Linked DNA regions of Arabidopsis thaliana. The protein of the gene in region 1 interacts with the protein of each later gene in a pairwise test. Each region holds a gene or a part of one and is shown on either strand. Other genes may lie near its edges.

Evidence for each region. Proteins that work in one complex are often made in the same cells at the same time.
Region 2: the proteins of SEP1 (region 1) and AT3G10030 interact in a two-hybrid assay, tested with the Arabidopsis thaliana proteins (one large-scale study listed by BioGRID).

What each region holds. Positions count from the first base shown.
Region 1 is NC_003076.8:5,150,478-5,156,139, forward strand, and holds SEP1 (K-box region and MADS-box transcription factor family protein), read right to left. Parts: upstream 3,777-5,662; 5' UTR 3,291-3,776; coding exon 3,106-3,290; intron 2,255-3,105; coding exon 2,173-2,254; intron 2,083-2,172; coding exon 2,021-2,082; intron 1,932-2,020; coding exon 1,832-1,931; intron 1,742-1,831; coding exon 1,658-1,741; intron 1,521-1,657; coding exon 1,372-1,520; intron 1,244-1,371; coding exon 1,117-1,243; 3' UTR 857-1,116; downstream 1-856. Other genes in the region: AT5G15790 (RING/U-box superfamily protein), read left to right, coding at 65-294. UniProt on the Arabidopsis thaliana protein: Probable transcription factor. Functions with SEPALLATA2/AGL4 and SEPALLATA3/AGL9 to ensure proper development of petals, stamens and carpels, and to prevent the indeterminate growth of the flower meristem.
Region 2 is NC_003074.8:3,091,455-3,097,164, forward strand, and holds AT3G10030 (aspartate/glutamate/uridylate kinase family protein), read right to left. Parts: upstream 3,572-5,710; 5' UTR 3,378-3,571; coding exon 2,548-3,377; intron 2,461-2,547; coding exon 2,316-2,460; intron 2,231-2,315; coding exon 2,177-2,230; intron 2,103-2,176; coding exon 2,011-2,102; intron 1,692-2,010; coding exon 1,456-1,691; intron 1,370-1,455; coding exon 1,199-1,369; coding exon of another isoform or gene 1,164-1,198; exon of another isoform or gene 924-1,163; coding exon 823-923; 3' UTR 562-822; downstream 1-561. Other genes in the region: AT3G10020 (plant/protein), read right to left, coding at 1-220; AT3G10040 (sequence-specific DNA binding transcription factor), read right to left, coding at 5,126-5,710.

The sequences.
Region 1 (5,662 bases):
TCTTTTTCTTGGATCAATGCATTTCAAAGAAGCTTAGTATCAGATTATTTCGTGTGTTTTGTAGAATACATATCAGAGAACCCGAAGATTGTTACAAAGTGTTCTCACCATTTCCACCTCAGTTGCATTTATGAATGGATGGAGAGAAGTGAAAACTGCCCTGTTTGTGGAAAGGTAAACACTTTTCATGTTCTTCCAAGCCAGTTTTCGGCTTCTCATTTACTAGTGTTTCAGAGTCAGACTCAGACACCATCACGCGTAAATAGACGAGTGATCCAGAGATCAATAGAATGAAAGATGTACAACAACCCTAGAAGCACATGCGTAAAATCTTTACTTGTCTTGTCTATGACAAATATGGCTAATCATTCTTCCTGAAACTCAGAACATTTGAATTATTTCTCATTCATGTTGACTAAAGAATATTTTTTTCTCTGCTGTGAATTCGTCTCATTTGCAGGTGATGGAGTTCCACGAAACACCGTAACTTGTTGCCATTGATCCTGTCTTGTACTGCCTAGACCGGACCTGGGGAGATTGACAAGGCAGCAGAGAGATGTGAATATATTTTTTAACAATATATGATATTGTATATGATGGGGAAATGAGGAAACGTCTCTCTGCACGTTTGGCTTATGGAGTTCTGAGGAAACCCTCTTGAGAGAAAACAACAGCAGCAGCAGAACAGATGCACACAGGAATCTGACATGTTTCTTAGGATTTGCCTTTGGCGCAGTGTTTTGTTCAAGGCATGAAACTTTTTACATCATTTTGTATGATTACTTTTAACCTTTTATGAATTTATGAATATATATGTGATGCTTGTATTTTGGCATATAGTTTACATTGGGTATTTGGGTCAAGGAGAGATCACATTGTAACCCAAATGTTTCTCATTACATGATAATAAACCAGTGTCATGGTTCAGTGTTAAAACAAGTTCCACACATTTGAATTCTTAATATAAGCAAGGATTCCCAAAAGATACAAATGTCTTGAAGATCCTCAGGACCATTATATATAGCCACTTATGTCTACAAATCCAAAGTCTTGTGTCTATACTTTTATATATATAAAAGATCTTTTGTTGGTGAGCTTTAACACAGCACATGACTCTCAGAGCATCCACCCCGGGATGTAACCGTTTCCCTGCTGCGCCTGAGCTTGGGTTGTCGCAGTTATTTGCTCTGAGCATACCGGATTATCATACCTGTCATCATCATCATCATCACCAAAACAGCAACTTAAAAGGTTCACACACATTGATGATCCTCTTTACACCAAGTAACTAAAGAACCTTATATAAGTACAATCTTAGTAGTGAAGTACACAAGCTGATTTGCAGATGATTGTTTAAGGCAAAGGATTTACCCCATTTGCAGAGTTGGATTGCATTCAAGAGGCTGGTATAGTCCCTGAGACTGAGCTTGATGATGCGCGTAGGTAACATTCTGTTCACCACCTTCCCATCCTCCTCCTCCTCCCATATGATGACTTCTCACACCAATCATATCATCCAGCTAAACATTTACATTTCACCAAAAGACTATAATCAGAAACAAGAAAACTAGAGATGTTTCCAAAAATGTTTAGAAACTTAAACTCTGTGAAAGAGATTGATCGCAAGGCACCAAATGCATTTATTCTGTAATTATACCTTCATTGCCAAAGCTCTATTGGTTTCAAGCAACATTTGCTCTTTATTTTGAAGATCCGAGAGCTGGTCAAGCATGTACTGTGTCTGCAAACAATCATCATACCACCATAGTAGTTATAATTAAACAACACAAATTAATCTCATTTGAATCATTGATTCCATGTATAAAGATACCTTGATGGACCGAACTTGCTTGAGAGAGCCGTCCAGTTGACGCTCAAGCTGCTCTAACTCCTTTGAATTCAAAGGTCCTAAATCCTCCCCAAGAAGATTTCTGCACCAACAAAAGCCACACACACCTACAAATATGAATCTACATGGATACAGAATTGAGTAAATATACGGAGGTAGACAGATATGTACCTCTGTTGACGTTGAAGGTTCTCATATCTACCCTTAAGCTTCAGATATTCTCTGTAGCTGTTCTGAAATATTTCACGAAAACAAACTTTTAAAAAAGATCTTTCTTGAAATGATATGATAGGAATCTAAAATAGTATTTGAATTAAGAACACCTCAAGTTCTTTGGCAGGTTTGTTGTTGACTTCAATGGATCCATAGCTGCATTTCTGGTACCGATCAAGTGTCTTGAGCATGCTGAAAATAACTCAAAAAGAGAGAATAAGAGTTTATTAAAAAGATCATACTTGACTTTGGAGATCTAAACCTATAAATCACCATAAAAAAAAAGCTCTTCAAGTTTTAAAGTATTCTTCCATCAAAATTGAAGATTGTTTCCATTATTTATCTGATTATATACGAGTTGATTTGGATTTGATTGTTTCAACTTTCAAACGTAAAGTTTCGTATTTATATTTACAAATATCAATAGTTCAATCCTATCATTTGCAAGCAATATCTTACGTTTTCGTTTGATTCACAAATTGTGATTTGAAAAAAGGAATTAATCGCTATATTTTCTTGAATGCATGTAAGCAAAACTATTTTAACATATAATTAAAAATCTATTAAACATTGTTTTTAAGAAAAAACAAACAATCAAAGCCTTCACAGATATACACGCGTTTGAAGTTTTAACCACCATAAAGTATGATGAACTAACAAATGGTTAATGCATGTAACCATATATTATCATTCTACGTTGGATACTTGTAATTTTCATAGAAATCTGTGAACAACTTTTAAGTTTCCAATCACACAGACATATATTAATTATATAAAACTTTTCAGATTGCATATCAGGATTTGGAATCTATTCGATTACAAAATTCACAGTTCTAAATCATTGACAACAAAAAAACCAGATCTTAAATTTCAAGAATTGGAAAAAAACCCTAGAAAATGAAATCAAGAAATCTAATTAACTCAACTTCGTAGAAATCAAGATCGTGTGATCTATATATAACAAGTCCTTGAGACAAAGATCTAAGCTCAGATCTAGCAAAAACTCAATCAAGAAACTGATAAAGAGTGAGAGAGTTGTTTACTTTGAGGAGCTGCAAAACTCATAGAGCTTTCCACGGTTGGAGAAGATGATGAGAGCAACTTCAGCATCACAGAGAACAGACAATTCATAAGCTTTCTTCAACAAACCGTTCCTACGCTTTGCAAACGTTACTTGTCTGTTGATTTTGTTCTCTATCCTCTTCAGCTCTACTCTTCCTCTTCCCATTTCTTTTTGTTACCTTAATTTCCACTTTTTATGTCTATACACAAATATGGGTATGTAATGTTTATCTATATACAGACACACAAAAACATAAGTTGGGTATCTCTTTTTCAGAGGAAAGATCTGATCTTTTTGAGTTTTTATGGTCTGGAGAATTGATGGTATTTGGAAAAAAGAAATTAACCCTAATTTCAAGAACAAAAGGTACTAGCTTAAGGAAGAAGAAGAGGAAACTTCTGTTTGTCTGATTTTTTATTTATAGGGTTATTGATTCTTTTTCCTCTCTTTAATTGTGTTTGGAAGTGTGTGGAGGTTGTGAAATCTTAATGAAAATTTTGTTTTGAATCAATGGAATCTATTGAGAGCAAAAGATAAGAAATGTGTGAGGGTGAGGTTAGGGTTTGGTGTGTTTTCTCATTTCTAGCCCATCTCTCTGCTTCTTTATTCTTCTTTACTTTCATTCCCACGCTCTCTTTAAGCACGTGTGATACAGTCACCAAATAATTGGCTCTTGTGATACAATTACCAATTAAACTTGTATATATATGTTTATATGTTATTTAAAGGATAAATTTTTATTTCGTATTACTTACTTTAGAGTTTTCATTATAGGGTTATTATTTAATTTGAACATCTATGTGTTTCTCCTCAGGTAGAATTCATGTTTGTGTATATATGGGTGTCTACTATTTATGGAATATTTATACAAAACATCTAAACATATCATTGCTTGAAAATTCTATGTTTATATCATAATAGCAAATTGTTTATGTTTAGTTATATATAACACAACAATAGTACTCTAAGAAAAACAGCATCATGCACGTTTGATGGTTGACTAGTAACTAGACACACGAGGCACAAAGGTTATCAGTTGATTAACATGTGTATGTATATACGGTCTTTCACTTATCACATTACAAACTTGAAAGTAAAATTTGTTTAGCGATATTAAGAAAGTTTATATATAGAGACCTCGTACTAGCTGGAAATGTATATCTAAAATGAAAGTACACTCCCTCTTACATACAGTTTAATATATTTTCAACATAAAACATATGTACATAGTACTAGCTTATTTTTTAACCAAAACTTTTGGGTTTGATAGTTTAACAACTCGGTCAAGAATCTCATATTTTCTTACTTCAAATAATTGCCAATATATTCTAGTTCTTTTTGTTTTTAAATTATACCTGGTAATTTTCTAACGAGAGTCTCATAATTGCAAGTTGTAGTAGTCTTGCAGCTGGATATGAAGCGCGTGAATTAAAACTAAATAATACTTACAATAAATGAAAGCAACGTATCATATCATTTTCTAGTTGTTTTCAGAAGCCGCAGAAAAGCATCTTCTACCTTAAAATGGGTTTCCATGTGTCGATGCCTTATTGGATCATACTTTCTTACTTTTTAATTCAGTTTAAAATAAATTGAAAAATGAGATAAACATTTAAGTGGTTCAATTATCATAAAAAACACTAAAACTGATAAAATAGCCACATAATATAGGTCATATCAAATAAATGAGAAATAATATTTGTATGCCTAAATCAAGTTATCCATGTTTGAAGGTGTTTGCAGTGAGGTATATATGTTTTTGTCTAATAAAGATTACAGTTATGATTATGTAACATAAATTAGATAATATTTACAGCTCGCGATACACTACAATTGAAACGTGGTTAATTAGTGAAACTGAAATTTGAAGAAGAGGATGAAATATGAATGATATTCGTTAAAATGATCTCTTAGATTGTATAGTCATTGTCCCCCATTGCCAAAAGATCAACCACTTACATAAAGTAAAACGCATCTTTAGTTAAAAGCTAACCAAAAGAGTGGAACATATTTATTTTTGGATTGCATTTGCGAATTTCATCAATATATGGTTTTGTTCAATTGGGAAATTTAAATAACTCCACTAAAATGTACAAAGTAATTTTTTTTCGACAAAGAATCTATGAAGCTAAAAAATCTACCCATAAGTCACTTTTAGCAGAAATACCACCATATAGACAAGGGATTATTGTTGATTTTGCCATTTTTTATAGAGATCTTTTGAAATTGCCATTTTTACTAAAATCTTACGGATAAGCCATTTTCTAAGATTTAAAAATATATGGATTTCGGACTTTTTTTGGTAAAAATACGTAGTTTACACAAAATACTAAACCCTAAGAACAACCACAACCGAGTAAACCCAAACATAATGAATAAAACGTATATTCATTCACGTAACCTGAAAAATGGCAAAATTCACAAACTATTAAAAAAAGGGCAAAATCCACAAATGCCATCCCAAAAAATGGCATTTTCATAATTGATTCTATAGACAATTATTTTTCTGCCTATTAACTTTATTTGTTTTGATAAAG
Region 2 (5,710 bases), on another chromosome or scaffold:
CTGACTTCGATGGTGGTCGCCTGAGAGGAATCCCATCGGAAGGATGACGATCCATCCGTTGAACACCTTTCTCCATAAGCTTCCGCTCAACGCTCTTGATCGTCTCCGGATTACGTGTCTTCACTTCGAACTTATCAACAGATTTCCGGCCTTCTTCATTCTTGTGCTCCGCCCGTAGCACCACCGTGTTTTTGGTTTCATCAACTGATACCGCCTGCATCTTAGATATACAGAAATAAATCAAAGTCGTGATACTTCACTACTTGTACGTTTGCGTTTAATTAGAATGAGCAAAGAGTGTTTTCTTTATATAAGAGTGTGTGTAAGAGGTGCGTGAGGGGATAAGAAGATAGGGGACAAAAATATCTGATGAATTGAAGTTTCTAGCGACTACCTTGTCTTTCTCGTAGCTTACGGAAACTTCTCATTTTTTTATTTGAGTCTGTCAAGTAATTATCCATTCGAGGGTGTTACTCTAATTGGGCCTTTGTGTATTTTTATACTGTTCGGTCCCCATACATTACATGTTTGTTCACATCATGATCGGATTATTTTGATACTCAGCAATAGATTTTGACATTTGCTCTAATAGTATTAAAGCATTACAAACAAAATCGTAAATACAATCATTCAGAAAGAAGAAGTCAGTCAACGAAGATGGAGAAAGAAAATCTCTCAAACGTGTCAACATCTTCAATATTACAACGTCTTCACTTGTGAATGGAGCAACTCTCCTTTTTCTTGTCAACTCATCTATGAAATATAATTACTTACGGAAAAAACAACGTGTTTACAAAGTGTTATGAATTCACACATATACTACTAACTCACGCCCCTTCCGCTTCTATCGATCAAAGTACCCACTTGTTCTCCGCACAAAGCTTTTGTGATGTTCCCAGCTTCCAGAAAGTTAAATACCACAACTGTTTTTTTTTAATCCAGAGGACAAGGAATCAGGTCATTTACATTCAACGTTCGATTCTATCATCAGGTGCTAAGCACTCATTGCGGGACAAGTATAAGGGTATTGATCTATTATCCACTGATGGAAATCAGGATTCTAGAGGTCCCATCTCGAGTAAACCATTTGTATAATTCTGTCTAGGTCACTAAGTTTAACCATTTATCTCACAGCCAGATCTAAGTAATCTAAAACGGATTAGCTAAACATGATAAGAGAGAGAAGAAGAATCTCGACCTGGAATGCTGTTCTCTTCACAAAAGTTAAGGGCCATTGTATCCATTGACGTAAGACCTCTAGAAGCCAAATCTTGAAATGATATGTGCTCAAATGTCACGTTACTATCTTGTGAATGACAGTCATAAACACCATCAACGTTTGTTCCTTTCACCACTGCCTCCGCATTGACTGATAACAAGAGATCTTAGGTTACCACTTAGGACCAGTTACTAATGGAAAGAGAACAACACTAAGAGGAAGTAAGAGAGTTGTACTGTCTATAGCTCGAAGGGCTGCAGATGCATCAGATGATAAAAGTGGATTTCCAAGCGTGGCACCGATGCCACCAAATATTACCACTCTTCCCTTATCTAGATGCCGGGTGGCTCGTTGACGATTGTAAGGCTCCCCGACACCCTGAACCGATATTGCAGTTTGTAACCGTGCCTGCACCCCTATTTTCTCCAGGGACGATTGAAGTAAAGCAGAGTTCATCACAGACGCCATCATACTGTTACATAACAGAAATTCGGTGAGCTGAACAACCTATCTCCAGCAAAACAGAACATAGAAGGCAATACTATTTTGTTGCTAAGTGCATGGATGTTTTGGCAAAGATGACATGTGAGACCATTTGAAATGATGAAAAAAAAAATCATCTGTGAGAACTTCAGAGCACGATAAATCAAATATGGAAATATAACTCATCATGAGCAGATAAAATTCTCATACAGTGTTTGCACCAGCCAGTTCGATTATCATACTACAGCCATCATGCTTTATACAAAGCACAATTCAAACATTTTATCAACTGAAATATTTTGACCAACCTTATATGATATGCAGTGGTTCTATCCAAACCAGTGGCAGTTACCCATGTGCTGCCACAAAAAAAGTTCCGACTCCCAACAACTATCGCTACCTGGAAGAACCAAACTATGAATACCATTTAACTGAAAAAGGATAAAACGCTAACAATCTAGAACTAAGTGTTACCTCTACACCAAGACGACAAGCCATTGCAACTTCTCTTGCAATCAGATTGATTACCTAAATAATCAAAAGAGAATTTGATGCTGAGGTCGGATAGAGAAAATGCATGAATCAACAAAAGATTACACATTCTGGAGGAAACCTTTGGATCAATGTTATTAGGACCGGTGCAGGCAAGAGCTGCACCACTGATTTTTAGAACCACTCTTCGCCATCTAGGGTTTGATGTAGCCTTTGATTTGACGTTATTAATCTGAACTCCTGGGTTATATGTTACCAGAGGATACCTGAAACAAGAAATACAAAACCAAAAACTTTCACTTTCACAAGAGCACAAAATACAAAAGAGTTGCTAGTGATCGTTTCTGCATTACCTTCTAGCTGGCTTCACAGTATTCCCCATTGAGCTTCCGCTTCTATCTTCATCAGACGCGCCTTTCAAGGCTAATGAATTGCCCACAATATCTTCCATCTTCTTAAACCAAGGCCAGTGACTAGCTGCTGTTCCACCACTGCTCATTCTATGCCTTTCAAGCTTATACCTCTTCTTGAGATTATCAATCTTGTTCTTACACTGTTCTACACTCTTACTCAGCTTTTCACACCTCTCACTCACCGATGAAGCAACCTCTTCCCAATCTCTTCCCCGGAGATTCCCTCGATTAAGCTGTGTGAACTTATCCGAATACGCATCTAACAAACACGCAATCGCCGCATCACTCCACTCTTCTCTATCCTTCCTATACTCACCAGCTGAGGAAGACGAAGTCCTCGGTCTCTTGAAGCTACCGTAGGGAGTAATCTCACCGCCATTTGTTGTTCCTCCGTCACTTAGCTCCTCCTGACTCTGCCTCTTCTCAACACGAACACCTCCGATTCTAGATCTGTTGGCACCGAGATCTTCGTCTTCGTCTTCGTCTACAGCTGCGTTATTATCATCATACGGATTCGAATTTTCGTCCGCCGTGAAAGGATTAACACCGTGACCGTGGAAAGCAGAAGACGCTTCTACAACGACATCGTTCTCGTCGTCCTCGTCGCCGTTCCTCTGGTGATGCGGTAAAAGGATCTGATTCGATGGTTTCGGGTTGAATCGTCTAGGAGCGTAGGGCGTGTGATGAAGAACTTGGTGGTGGTGGTGATGTTGATTAGGGTTTGACTGATCGTCTCCAAGTAGAGAGAAATCGTCATCACACGACGCCATTAAAAATGCCGTTAGGGTTACGGCGGTGGTAGCAACCAGAGACGGCGTTAATTAGCGGCGAGAGGCTGAAGAAACGGAAGGAGAAGGCGTCAAGGCGTGAACTAGCGCAAAAGTGGATGGGCCGTCACAACGGCTCCGTTAGGCAAGTGGTAAGGGTGGAATAAAAAAAAGTTAATTCACAAAAACCAAACCGAACCAAAGTTAAATTGCGTTATTCTATTCGGTTTTGGTTAATCCAAACCGAAACATAGTTAAATTCGCTTCCGTTACAGTCAATAACCTACGTTACCTCATATTTTTCAGCTTTCCAACAAAATACATATTATCAAAATTCTTTCACAGATATATATTCCCATAATGATTTTGTCTTTGTAAGATTAAAATTTATAAAATTATAAAACCTTTGATGATAACAATTCAATTTTCAATTGATGTAACGGGTGAACGAAGAAAATAATTAATACTATCAATATAAAACGTTGGAAACAGGTGTTACAACAATTAAAACTGAAAAAAATGGTTTAGTCCAATGTTTTCCTGTCATTTTTAGATATAACAACGAGTCATAATTATGTTACTAATTTTTTTTTTTAATTTGGTCGTTTGATTGATCGCATCGTGTCTCACTGTATATATGATATATCACTTTCCATCATTTGTTCTAAAGACATGATTTGTAACTTATATATACTTCACGTACGACACTAAATTCATACCGGAGATTGTTTGTCATTGGACTCCACTTGGTATCATATTCAGCAAAAGTTACAAAATTCATTTGACGAAGATTGTTTGGTTTTTGAAAGCAATGTGTATACAGTAATTTGTTTTCCGCTATTTGTTGATCCTCATAATCTTCCAGATGCTCCTACCATATGTCCGAAAATATGTTATAGGAAAACTTTAGAGAAAACTGCAACTATCGCTATAGTTCCAATGGTATCTAATTAAACTTTTGAATCTTATTGTAGGTGCAAGAAACATGTACAAAGCAGAATATCTGCTCAAACACTAGATGGAAATGGAATATAGTGGTATGGTATGATATTTTTTTGTGTTCTATCATCTCAAATAATCTTTGTCACATTATTGACATTGTGTAACCTACCTAAACTTTCACTCAAGTATTTATAATAGAAAATCTCTTCTTCTTACAAATATCATAACAGTTCTTGAATTATATCTTTAATAACTACTTGTACACAAAACTCTAGTTGGTTAAAAATAGAAGAAAAACTCTCCATTGTGATGCTTTGAAGGGTAAATTATTAAATAGAGAAACATATATTCTTTAAATAAACGAGGATCGCCCGTGGGCCGTGGGTAGTTTTACTGATTGTAATTATGTTTCTTAATGTTTTCTCAATACTCTAGTGCAAGCAGAGCACCCGTGGCCTAATGGATAAGGCGTTTGACTTCTAATCAAACGATTGTGGGTTCGAGTCCCACCGGGTGTGTCATTTTTTTTTTCCCTTAGTATGTGTGTTAACCTTTGTACGATTGATTAATTTCTTCTCACTTTTACCAATTAACCACTTAAATATTGACAGCGTGAGAGAATCCTTATTCGAAAATTGAAACTACAAAAGTAGACATGCTTAATCAATTTGCTGATTAAAGACCTTTTGTCTACAATAGTACATACTTTTAAGATTTAATTTACTGCCTAATGTCACTAAAACGTGAGAATCCTAACATTAGAAACTACAAAGTTGTAAAAAATCTCTAATCCTAAATACTAATCAGCATCACCCCTTAGCGGAACTCGGGTCAACCCGTGTACCCGAAGACTGTAACTCATTCAACTCAATTTCACTCCGCCGTAACATGAGAATCATCCTCTCCGTCTCAAGCCTCCGTCTCTGATTGTCAAGCTTAGCCTTCTCCATCTCTCTCTCTTTCTTGCTCCTATATCTCATCCACTTCACTCTCTGCTTCTCCATCTCCACTCCTTCCCACTCATACCCAATCTTCTTCTCCTCAATCTCCAACATCTTTCTCCTTATCCACTCTTTCTTCTCCCACACACTCTTCCCAACATCTTCCACTACACTTGCCGCTTCTTCCCTCAACCTCTTCACCGCCGTCGATATCCTCCGCTTCTTCCTCGTCTCTTCTTCCTCTGATTCCTCCATCTCTGACTCCGAATCCTCCGCCATATCAGACTCTACTTCCTCCTCCACCTCCACCCTCTCCGCAATTCTCGCCATTTTCCCTGCTTCCGCCGCGTGAAAACAGTTCTGCTGCTGACTCGGAATCGGAATCGAAATAGGATTCTGTTGCGGTGGTTGTTGGTCATGACCACCAAGATGACCACAACTATTATGATAAGC